Cricetulus griseus: one gene and its partners. The protein of the gene in region 1 interacts with the protein of each later gene in a pairwise test. Links are inferred from orthologs where the notes say so. Each region holds a gene or a part of one and is shown on either strand. Other genes may lie near its edges.

Region 1 (3,431 bases):
CAAATTTCTCTCTGCAGCCCCTTACTTCTAATTTCAACTGCTTTCTGAACATAGTTGTGAGCACTGAAGTATAAACAAAGTTAATACTGTTTTCTTTCTCTCCTCTTTTCACTGTCTCATAAAGTTTCCAGTTGCTTTATCCCAGTCATATATTCATTCAGGAAAGTTCACACAGTTGAAAATACCTGTTTCCCCAGCATGGCTGTGCACACACTGCAACAAACACACATGTACACACTTTGCTCCTTCGTCTTTCATTTTTCACATGGAAAATCAGATCAAAGAATGTGTTCAGGAGTTTATTCATGTATTTGGTAAACCTTGGAGTGTAGCAATTTAGCTATCCAAAATGTGTGTTGCATATGAACTATGTACTAGGTGTAAACTCCTTTACCTAAACACATGTGTTATTAATTAATTAATGGGTTACATTTTAATAGCTTCCTTAACCCAACAAGCCATTGTTCATTGCATCCAAATTTTGGAGCACCAATGATTTAATAAAATATGATGTTTATAAAGTTATTATGATATAAAACAATTAAAATATAAACATATTCAGGGTCTATAGTTTTATCATTTTTGCTGCCCAGGCACACTAAACACAATCTCTCTCTCTCTGGGTCCTGTCATGTGACATCCATTGTACTGTAGTTTCATGCAAGGTCTGATGAAAGTGGTTGGGGTTTGCAAGATAGAGTTATTGCATTCTATTTAGGATACCTAGTGCCGAAAACAAATTGAGACCCCAGTAAAGCATATAACAAAACTGGAGTAGTATTTCTATTGTCTGTAGGAGTTCTTAGTGATACAGAGCCCATCTGGATTTGGATAATTATCGGATATTATGTAGAGTGCATTTTGAGCAGATGTGGAAAGAGCCAGACACACTGGATTGTGAAGGACAGCAGGGAAACAGTGCTGCAGAATAAGGGGCACTTTATATAATGATTTTTAGTGATACACACTGAGCCCCAGATGTGGACCTGAGCACCTAAGAGCAAAGTTTGAGAGCATGGAGAGTCTTGAAAGGCAGACAAGTAATGTGGGGTTATTACAAAAGAAAACCACAACAATTAAAAAGCAGAGTTGTGGAACCCACTCACTATCTGTGCATCTACAAAACACTCTTGAACTAAGGCTCAGAGAACAATGCTGAAGAGGGGCAGAAAGATTTGAGGGCCAGAAGGTCACAGAGTTCACTGTGGGATTGTGTCTCCTAGTAACATGAGAAGCTATGTCCCTAGTATCACCAACATGACTGCCTGAACAAGGACAACAGCAGTAGACATGCCAAAGTGGATAGGGAAAATCCAGGGGGCCTCCACCCTACAAGGAGAACTACAGGCAACTAAGGAATGCTGAAAACAAGAGAAACAGTCTCCCCCAGGGAAAAGCACAGCAACTGATTATCCAATACCAAATAGTCAGCCCTGAGAACACACATACAAACAACCTTATACAGACTGAGCAGGTTGTATTTAGGAATATAATATGTATGAGGATATACATATTTATATGTAATAGCAATTAATGAAAAAGGAGGCTGTGAATTTAAAAGAGAGCAAGGAGGGATACATGGCAGGGTTTGTAGGGAGGAAAGGAAACAGAAAAATGATGTAATTATACTATAATCTCAAAACTAAAAATAATTAAAGAGAAAACAAACAGGGGAAAGTGAACATACAATATAAAAATGCAAATTTAATATCTACTACATGAGTTAAGAAGCTGAACTTACCAATATCCCAGAATCCCTTTGCCCCCTTTCAGTCTCAACTAATTTTCTCCCCCAACAAATTTATTTAATAGTGGCTTTTTCCTCACACACCCATTTTTATTGTTTTGCAAACAGCAATTAGGTCACACGGGGTATGTACATGTTTGTGTCTGGCTCCTTGCATCCAGAGATTGCCACAGAAGTTCACTTGTGTTACTCTGTCTTGCAACATGCTTACATCCTTACTTCTGAGTGGCAGCTAATAATGTGATTCTCCCAGATTCCTGTGTCAGTGACAAGGGACAGACTTTCAGGCTGTTTCCTGAAGTAGAAGGCTGTGCTCCACTAGCCTTCTTTGTGAGTCTTCCTTAAGCATAACATAAAGTTCTACCAAGCCTACATGCAACAACTGGAATTTCTGGGTCAGAGTATGTGTGTACTTATCCTCAGAGTCTGCCAACCCATTTCTGATTGTTCTCACTCAGAGCCGGTCTCTAATCACCATTGTTTTTTTCTTTTTGGTAACTTCATAACATTTAATTATATTATAGACCTGAATAAAGTTCTATTCAGTAAGTTCTGAATAAAAAAAAATGATGACAAAAGGATAATTAATGAGTAACTATGAAGGGGGAGAGGGAAGCATTCAGCCAACACTACTGATTCGCCAGTGGGTTAGCACAGTAATAGTTAACCGCCGTTATGGTTCAGTGACTGGGGATGTAGATGATAGAGGGTGATAAAAAAAAAAAAAAAAGAACTCTGGCTCTTGGAGACTTAAGCAGAAACACAGAAAACATAGAATACCATGTAAAGGAGATTTTAAGTTTAAAGATGGCTTGTGAAGACACAGTGTTTTTCATTTGAAAAAAAAAATCATTTTGTTTTAGAAGGGAAAGTGGGGTTACAGAGTCCATATATTTTATATGCAGAAAAGTGACCTGTGCTTTGACACGTATTTTCCTTAAGCCTATACAAGCATAACTTCTTGCAAACTTCTTTGCTTTTTTTCCATCTCAGGATCGAACACATATGAAGAGGCAGCTGCGTATATCCAGTGTCAGTTTGAAGACCTCAACAAAAGAAAGGACACAAAGGAGATATACACCCACTTCACCTGTGCAACAGACACGAAGAACGTGCAGTTTGTGTTTGATGCTGTAACAGATGTCATCATAAAGAATAATCTAAAAGATTGTGGTCTCTTCTAAGTTTTGCAGTTGGTAGTCACATGCATTTTCAAACCAAATGAGTACTTATATATGGATCTCTCTAGACTAGAGTCTCCCAGCAACACAGAATGTAGTATACAGCAAAAGCATCCTGGACCTGACCAAAGTTGCTCTGTTTTGTGTCTTTCTCTGAAAATAATAGGGTCATTCTCAAAGGTGAAGGATGATCCTGTGGTGTGAAAGTGAGGTGTGATATTTAGGCTGGGCTCTAGTGTACTGATGATTTCTGGGTAAGTGTAAATATGCAAATGTAAGATGTATTTATAAGTTTTGATTTCCCACATTATGTTTAGGTTGTAAGAGTGGCAACTTACGATTCTAGTGTGATGGTTTGGGGAATAACATAAATATTAAGTACCTTGTACCGAATGACAGATTAGTTCTGTGTTTGCCAGTTTTAAACAGCTTTATTTTATGTTAGTGTCCTATAAATTTTAGGTACCGTAGTTAATATTAGGAAATGTCATGGCCCTTACCTT
Region 2 (4,127 bases), on another chromosome or scaffold:
CCAGAATTCACTGGACCCTATGTCTGCCCATCTGCCCAACTGGCTGTGCCCCCAAGGGCCTCAGGTGTCCAGGAACCCAATTAGAGGGAGGAAGTGCCTACCTGTTTCTCCGCCTCATGTGGGGTGGGCATGTGTGGGTGGAGAGGGTTGCACAGATTCTGTGGTGCCAGCTCTGGACCTTCACTGCAGTCTGGGAGCTTGGATCTGAGAAGAGTGTTGGGAGTTCTGACTGAGGGCCTGTGACCTGGGCCCACCTTGTAACCTCTGCAACCACCTCAGGTCCCTCAGAGGGAGCTTGCTCAGAGCTCTACCCCAAGTCTGTGTGCTAACCCCATATGGAAGTGCCCCAGGCAATGATGGGGCTACTGCAGTTGGGCCTCCCACAAAGGGCTCTAAGATACCCCCATCTACTCAGTCCCCAAGAAGCCGGAAGCCTGGGTTCCTCTTTCTTGGCTTCCGGCTCCTGGCCCCTCCTAAGGGGACTGGAGCTACAGGCTGGTATGGAGATGGTAGGATACTCTGATGGCTCCCTCCCTCTAGGTAGGTGGGTAGACATGCTACCCAGATGACTGCAGAGGGCTAGGTCTGAGGCACCAGAGTACTTGAGTAGAATTCAGAACAAGACTTCCTGAAAGTGAGGAATGGAGGTGGGGGGTTACTCGAGAGATGTGTACTTAGGTAACAAGGCTCTTAGGTCCTTGGCTGCGTCAGACACCCCCACTTCACCCTGGTTTCCCTTTTTCTCCTGAGGATGCAGAAGCAGGGAGTGCTAGCCATGGAAGCTGGGGTGGCAATGTGGGAGGATCAGCTGCTTAGCTGGAGCCTTGGGCTCTTCAATGGGTTTTCATATGATTTATCATTCTTGATGTTTGGACCACACCTTCACAGGGGGTTCTAGGAACCTCTCAGGCCTCTGAAAGCTGACTTCAAATTCCAGTGTCCCCAGGAAAAACAGAAGCAAAGCATCCAATTAGCACCCTGGCAGCAGTTTTGAATGCCTCCTCTCTCCCCAGCCTGTGCCCATTTCTGACCAGGTGGAGGCTAGGCTATCCAGGCCTTAAGATCTCTGCTCTGCCCACCTTCCTCACATTAACCTGGGGCTCACGTTACTTTGTCGATGAAATCCACCCTCCTGTAGCCCTGAATCCAGCAGAGGGAGGCCCTTTATCCTCTTCTGCCTGAGGTCTGTACACTGAGGGCAGCCCCACCACCTGGCTCGATTTCTGAGATGGTGGGTTCCCAAGTCTCCCAGCGTGCAAACCAGGACACAAAAGTAGCTTGGGCTGTACTTCCCTGGGGTGGAGCTTCTAGGGAAAGGAAGGGGTGTAGTAGCCTAAGGTCTCTAGGCTCTCCAGAGTCATCACCCTGCAGACCATCCCTCAGATGCTCCATCTCCAACCAGCTGACTGGACAGGGAACAGCCTGGGGTGTGTGGGGCCTGGATGCTGGGGTCCAGTTTGTGCAGACGCAGGTGTCTGCCATTTTCCCCAGCTGCAGGCTCTTGTCCTGGCTCCTTGCACCCATCAAAGGTCGGTTGGGACCACCCATGTCGTCCAGAGTGCTCTTGACTACCGCCTCCCTTCTTTCTAGGGAAGGGGAGCCCAGCATCTGAATTAGGGTTTTCCTGCCCCATCTCCGGATACTGGATGGCTCATTCCCTCCCCAAGCCTCCCAGGCGTTGGCCTCCCAAGTCTATGCTGAGACCAAATGCAGCAAATCTGGTCTCTGGGGACAGAAGCTCCCTGGGGAATGGCTGCCGTGTTGCTCCACAGAAGAAAATGTTCAAGCCCGACCAGTCCAAAAAAAAAAAAAAAAAAAAAAAAAAAAAAAAAAAAAAGAAAGAAAAGAAAAGAACCTTTGGGGGGGGGTAACAGGGGTTCCATTCCCACTTCCATCCCACACTGTCATTGTCCTACCTGTACCTCCATGGCGGGCCAGACCTCTCTCACCATGGCGAACCCCGCTGCCCAAGCCCACCTGTGGGATGGTAGGCCCCCACCCAGTTACTGCTTTCTGCTGGTGGGGTCGTCTGGAGGGCTGGTCTCTTCTTCGCGGTCCCTCTCGCAGTCTCTGACGCCCCCACCCCTTTCTTAAGGAATTCGCCATGAGGCCCCACTCACCAGCGACCTAAAGGCGGATGGGGGCGGGAGGGCCAGGTTCGGTCTGGGCCCCACCCTGGCTGCCGAAGGGGCGTGCTCTAAAGCAGCAGGGACTTAAGTCAGACAGCAAGATGTACTCCTGGGTATTCGCGAGATAGGAAGGCGCACAGAATCCCTCTCGGGTGGGGCTGTGGAGGGGGCGCAACATTCACCCCTAAGGCTCGCCGGGCCGAGTGGCTAGTGGACCCAACTCGAAGGGTGGGTAAGGTGGTGGATCGGTGTCTGGCCTGGCCCCTCCCCACTAGGCTAGCGGGCGGGAGACACGGAAACCTGGGTTCTTCCGGCCCCCACCTTTAGCAATTACTTCTCAAAGCTCTGAGCTGAAGAAAAAGGGGAACCTTGCTGCGGCTCTCCCTCCCCCACGCGCAGGGGGTGGGCTCCGGTCCCACCGCGACCCAGGTCCACGTGGGCTGGTCGCTGAAGTCCGGGAACAGAGCCGGCATCTACATCTCCGGGGCCCGCCCGCGGTCCAGCGCCGCACTCACCGCAGAGTCCCCGAGTCACAGCGCCCGCGCGATCCGAAGTCCTGCTTGTCGCCGGGGAGGGGGCGCAGGCGCAGTGCGCAGGCGCCTCCACGGTACTTCCCCAAAGAGAGGGGCCGGGACTTCCTCGAGCCCCAGCGCCTGCTCGCCCGCAGTGCCCCGCCCCGCGCCCGCTCCCGCGCCCCACCCGCGCTGGCGTGTCGTCCTGCGGTAGCGTGGCATGGTGACCCTGAGGGGTGAGTCGTACACAGACAGTGGATTGAGCCGGCGCTCCGTCTGGTTAGCTAGGTTTTCCCAGCCTTTCCTTTCTGTGGTAGTGCAGTGTGGGGCACCAGAGCTGAGCCCAGTGTGCTTCTTGGCAGGATGAGAAGAGGCCTTTGGGAAGGACTGGCCTGTTGTACTGCCCTGTCCGCCCCACCCCTTCGCATTTCTGAGTCTGGTCTGTCACTCTGCTGTCCACAGAGAAAGGGAGATTCAGGAACTGCAGCTTGGTGGGCACTGTGAATGCAGGTTCTTATATCAAATTACCCCGAAAGTTTCTGGGGCCTAGTTGAGTCCCTCCCTATTGACCCCTCAAATTGCTCCAAGATAGCCTTTTCTGCAAATGGCCTTACTCTTTGGCCAGCTCTTCAGATCCTTTATTATTGGGTGCAGATTTGAATTAGCTCATTATCCCAGCATGCTCTGGGCAAGTGTCCAGGGGCCCTGACCCTACTTTAGACTTGGTTTGTAGGGTGTGTGTGGTTGCTTGGGCCATGCGGTTCCTGCCCTTCTTAGCACTGGAACACAGCCTAACCAGTTCAGGTGCTAGGGTCTTGCAAAAAAAAAAAAAAAAAAAAAAACTTTTTAATCGCACAGGTTGTATATGCTGACCACAGAAGTTAGAGGTGCAAAGCAAATACCCACTCTTGAGGCAGCGGGTCCCAGGCAGACAGACTGACCTGGAGCTAACTGCAGTGGACTAGAATGGGAGACAGGCCCAAAAGGGATGGGGTGAGAGGTGAGGAGGGCAGGATGTTGCCATGATGTTCAGGGAGTCTGGATGAAGAGAGAACATTGGTTGAGAGCCTGAGGCTACCAGGCTTTCTCTAATGCTGTGTGGGGCTTGATGAAAAAAGCCAGAACCCTTTAGCTGCCACCTGATGGATTCCAAAGCAAGGTAGAGGCTAAGAAGCCCATCTAAACAGTAGTAGTTGCTTTAGATAATAGTCCTGAGAAGTGGACACAGTTTAGAATAAGGAGGCCCAGTAGAAATGGGTCAATACCAGGTGGAGACAACAAAACAAAGCTGATTCTGCAGTATTTGGTGTGGGCAACTGGCTGTGGGTAGAAGTCAGTATGCGTTCTTCCCCTCAGTTCATTTTACATGCCTACCCACTTGTTCTCTGCTACCTTACATCTGTTCTATACTCAATTAGCATCTTTAAGCACAGAGAATGCCCCTAAATCTAGGCAGGAGACCAGGAGCACTGAGCAAGTGACACTA
Region 3 (3,926 bases), on another chromosome or scaffold:
ACAAAAATGAAGTTGTTCCATGGAATGTAAATAAGGGAAGGGCGGGCCGCCTGCGTTCGTGCCCGCGGATTGGCCAGCAATAGTAGTCCCGAGATGTGGGTGGTACCCGGAGCATGAGCTCGGGCACAAACCGGGAGCTGAGGCTGGAAACCGGCTCGGTAAAGCTGCCGGATGCCTCGGGCGCTGCGGAAGCCCGAGTGTGAGAACTACAAGATGCGGAGGACGGACAGAACTGAAGGAGACTGGCGAAGGAGACGCCAGGGCCTGACACCGAGCAGGCGCAGGGCACGCGCCGGTTAGCTCAGCGGGTGGCAGATCATCCGCTGGAGCATGGCTTGTGTGTCACCGCGAGGTACACTCTCACCGACCATGCCTCCAGCCACGCGGAGTGCGGACCCGGCTCCCCAGCCACCCACCCTCTACCCAGCGTTGGAACGCCTCTCACACTGACGGGCCGCGGCTGGCCGCCCCTCCATTGCCCCTCCCATGGGAGTGGCTTTCTCCGGGTGGTTTTCGCTTCCCTCTGACCCTTCCTCATACACTGGGACTTTCTTTTTCCTTTGATGGCCACATTGTTTTTGATGGTTCGGTCTTTCGTTTGTTTTAAGGACGGTCTCACTATGTATCCCTGTCTGGCCTAGAACTCACAGATCTGCCTGCTTCTGCTTCTCGGGTGCTGGGATAAAGGCGTGCGCCACCTCGCCGAGCTATCCGCTTTATTTTGACCACCCGAGTCGTTGTGTTTGTCTTTCCCGCGGAGCATGAGCTTCAGGGTCTGGACCGTGGGGCTCCAGCTGACTAAGCGACCAGAAGATAGTGCTCCCTTCATCTCTCTCCCTGTTCCCTGACCGGTGCGTAAGGAGGGCGGTCCATGCGGGGGCCGAGACCCCACCTCCACGCCCCACGCCTGCTAGAGAGGAGGGAGAAAAGGGGGGCGAGGGGATGCTACTTGGCTAGCTAGCGCCGCTGTTCCAAGACGAGCCGCTCGGCGATCGCGGCCAGGTGGGCTCCACCTTAAACCGGAGGCCCGCCCCACGCCTGTGCACACCCTTTCTGCTCGGCTGTGCTCCCGGCATCCCTCACGCGTGGACTCGGGGCTTCCGGACCTGGGCGGAGCCCGCGGGTTTGGCCGATTGCGTCTTCCCAGCCCAAGCCTTCCAGCACCCGGTGCCAGGGGCCATGGAGCCCCGGGCAGTTGCGGATGCTTTGGAGACGGGAGAGGAAGACACAGTGACAGAAGCTCTGCAGTCGTTCAACCGGGAGGTGAGAGGCACCCGGCTGCTGAGGAAATTTCTTGGAGAGAGGAAGCAGTGGTGTGCGCGCAGCGCGGCCGGGGTGTGCGTGCGAGTGTGGCAGGGAGCACGGCCTTGGGAGGCGGGCTGGGCCTCGGGGGTTTCAGTGGTGGGGCAGGTGTAGGGGAAGCGAGGGTGGTGGGCCCTGCCTTGCGTTCAGAGCAATGGCTGCTGCCTCAGAGGTAAAAGCAGACCGGCTGCCCTGACTCGAGGAGCACAGGTCCTACCTGCGCGTGGACTTGAGCCTACTGGGTCTCCTCCCTGCAGCACTCCCAGAGCTTCACCTTCGATGATGCCCAACAGGAGGACAGGAAGGTAGGTGCCATCCCAAGGGGCTCCTAGGGCAGGCATGGGCTGCCCCAAGAAGAGGGACTGGTGGATCCACTTTTGTCCCTCCCCACAGAGACTCGCAAAGCTGCTGGTCTCCTTACTGGAGCAGGGCTTGTCACCGTCACACCGTGTCACCTGGCTGCAGACTATCCGAATCCTAACCCGAGACCGCAGCTGCCTGGACTCATTTGCCAGCCGCCAGAGCCTCCATGCACTAGCCTGCTATGCTGACATCACCATCTCAGAGGAGCCCATCCCACAGCCCCCAGACATGGATGTCTTACTCGAGTCTCTCAAATGCCTGTGCAATCTCGTGCTCAGCAGCCCCGCAGCGCAGATGCTAGCAGCAGAGGCTCGCCTGGTGGTGAGGCTAGTGGAGCGTGTGGGACTGTACCGCAAAAGGAGCTATCCCCACGAAGTCCAGTTCTTTGACCTGAGGCTCCTTTTCCTGCTAACTGCCCTTCGCACTGATGTGCGCCAGCAACTGTTTCAGGAGCTGCACGGTGTGCGCCTGCTGACTGAGGCGCTGGAACTGACGCTGGGGGTGGGCCCCAAAGAAAAACCCCCGGTGGTACTTCCGGCCCAAGAGACAGAGCGGGCCATGGAGATCCTCAAAGTGCTCTTTAACATCACCTTTGACTCTGTCAAGAGGGAGGTGGATGAGGTAAGTTGTAGCCTGAAGTCATGGGTGGGACTCAGCTCAGCTGGGACAGTTTTGTGGTTTTGCTTCCTTCCTGCCTCAACTTCCTGGGTGCCAGACATGGCAAGGATAATGGGACATCAAGGCAGGGAATCCAAGGAAGGTTTCTGAGCTGTGTTGTGGGGGTGTGTTTGTGGGAAGGCTTTAGGTGGCCAAAGGTCACCAACTGTGCTGTGGACAAAGCCAAGTGATCAGCTCCATGTGGCCCTGGAGCACTGGAACAGGGGACTCCTCCTTACAGGAGCCATTTTCTGTCTTTGGTTAGGAAGATGCTGCCCTTTACCGGTACCTGGGGACCCTTCTGCGGCACTGTGTGATGGTTGCTGCTGCTGGAGACCGCACAGAGGAGTTCCACGGGTAAGGGGCAGGACTTACCGTGTGTTGACAGTGGGGAGAGTACTTAGGCATGGGTACCCTAGTCCTCAGCCCTAGGTGTCAGTAGAAGCACCAGGTCCCACCGTAAGAGTATGACTGTCAGAGGGATGGGAAACCAGAGTGTTCCCAGAGAGCCCCAGGAACTCAGAATATGACTAGGGGAAGAGCTAAGGTGGAAACAATGGTGGCCCTGGCATTGTAAGGCAATGGTGTTCCTGCTGGTGGTGACCAATAAGTACCTCACCTGACTTGGTATCTCAGCTCAGACAGAATGGGACAGGCAGAAGTTTGTCTCCCCACCAAACTTGAATGGAGTACTACCTGCCCTTGCCTCTAGTCCTCGGTGCTGTCCTCAGTCCCCCATATCATGTATACCCCAGGAGAGGAGCCGGGGATTACTTCTGTGCTAGAGTTACTCTGTCAAGGCCTCTGTCTGTCCCCAGCCACACGGTGAATCTCCTGGGAAACTTGCCCCTCAAATGTTTGGATGTCCTTCTCGCCCTGGAGCTACACGAAGGATCCTTAGAGTTTATGGGAGTCAATATGGAAGTGATCAGTGCCCTTCTTGCCTTCCTAGAGAAGCGTCTGCACCAGGTAGGTGGAGGACCTGCTATGTTGTGGCTTCCATTTCTGCACCAGGGAGAGAGGTCAGCTTGAAGGTATAACTTGGACAGTTTCTCTGGTTGCTCTGTGGCCCCACCAGAGATAGCTATTCAGTCAGACCCTCTCCGAAGCTTGTGGATACAGCTTGTGTGTGGACCTCAATGCTGCTGATTCCCAAAGAAAAGCAGGCTTCTCAGGGTCTGCCAAGGTGAATGTTGTCTTTTAGGTCTCTGCAGTTCCCTGTTAAGTGATTCTCAGAAGCCTTTGGTTCCTGCTTCCCTAATGTTCCCATACATTGGCAGCCATAGGTGACAGCATTAGTTGTCCTGCATCTTTTGTTTTTTGTTTTTTATTTTTTATTTTGGTTTTTCAAGACAGGTTTTCTCTGTGTAGCCCTGGCTGTCGTGGAACTCACTCTGCAGATCAGGCTGACCTCAAACTCAGAGATCAGCCTGTCTCTGCCTCCCAAGTACTAGGATTAAAGGAATGACCCCAACCCCCACCTCCACCCCCACCCCCGTTGTCCCTCTGCATCTTAAGGAGACATAACCAAGGGTTACCTGACACCTACAGTTATAATATGGGACCAGAGAGCTGGTGATCTAGCCTATCCTGTGGAGCTCACA

The links.
Region 2: the proteins of Gnai1 (region 1) and Rgs19 interact in a two-hybrid assay, tested with the Homo sapiens proteins (2 studies listed by BioGRID). The link is inferred for Cricetulus griseus from reciprocal best matches to the Homo sapiens genes GNAI1 and RGS19.
Region 3: the proteins of Gnai1 (region 1) and Ric8a interact in binary tests that used the Homo sapiens proteins (3 or more experiments, as listed by UniProt). The link is inferred for Cricetulus griseus from reciprocal best matches to the Homo sapiens genes GNAI1 and RIC8A.

What each region holds. Positions count from the first base shown.
Region 1 is NW_023276806.1:175,950,362-175,953,792, forward strand, and holds the end of Gnai1 (guanine nucleotide-binding protein G(i) subunit alpha-1), read left to right. Parts: intron 1-2,740; coding exon 2,741-2,931; downstream 2,932-3,431. UniProt on the Homo sapiens protein: Guanine nucleotide-binding proteins (G proteins) function as transducers downstream of G protein-coupled receptors (GPCRs) in numerous signaling cascades.
Region 2 is NC_048599.1:214,936-219,062, reverse strand, and holds the start of Rgs19 (regulator of G-protein signaling 19), read right to left. Parts: upstream 2,801-4,127; 5' UTR 2,645-2,800; intron 2,617-2,644; exon of another isoform or gene 2,451-2,616; intron 2,288-2,450; exon of another isoform or gene 2,121-2,287; intron 1,978-2,120; exon of another isoform or gene 1,917-1,977; intron 1,587-1,916; exon of another isoform or gene 881-1,586; intron 205-880; 5' UTR 132-204; coding exon 102-131; intron 1-101. UniProt on the Homo sapiens protein: Inhibits signal transduction by increasing the GTPase activity of G protein alpha subunits thereby driving them into their inactive GDP-bound form. Binds to G-alpha subfamily 1 members, with the order G(i)a3 > G(i)a1 > G(o)a >> G(z)a/G(i)a2.
Region 3 is NC_048596.1:60,341,408-60,345,333, reverse strand, and holds the start of Ric8a (synembryn-A), read left to right. Parts: upstream 1-1,126; 5' UTR 1,127-1,179; coding exon 1,180-1,263; intron 1,264-1,559; coding exon 1,560-1,607; intron 1,608-1,695; coding exon 1,696-2,286; intron 2,287-2,587; coding exon 2,588-2,679; intron 2,680-3,140; coding exon 3,141-3,291; intron 3,292-3,926. Other genes in the region: Bet1l (BET1-like protein), read right to left, coding at 1-115.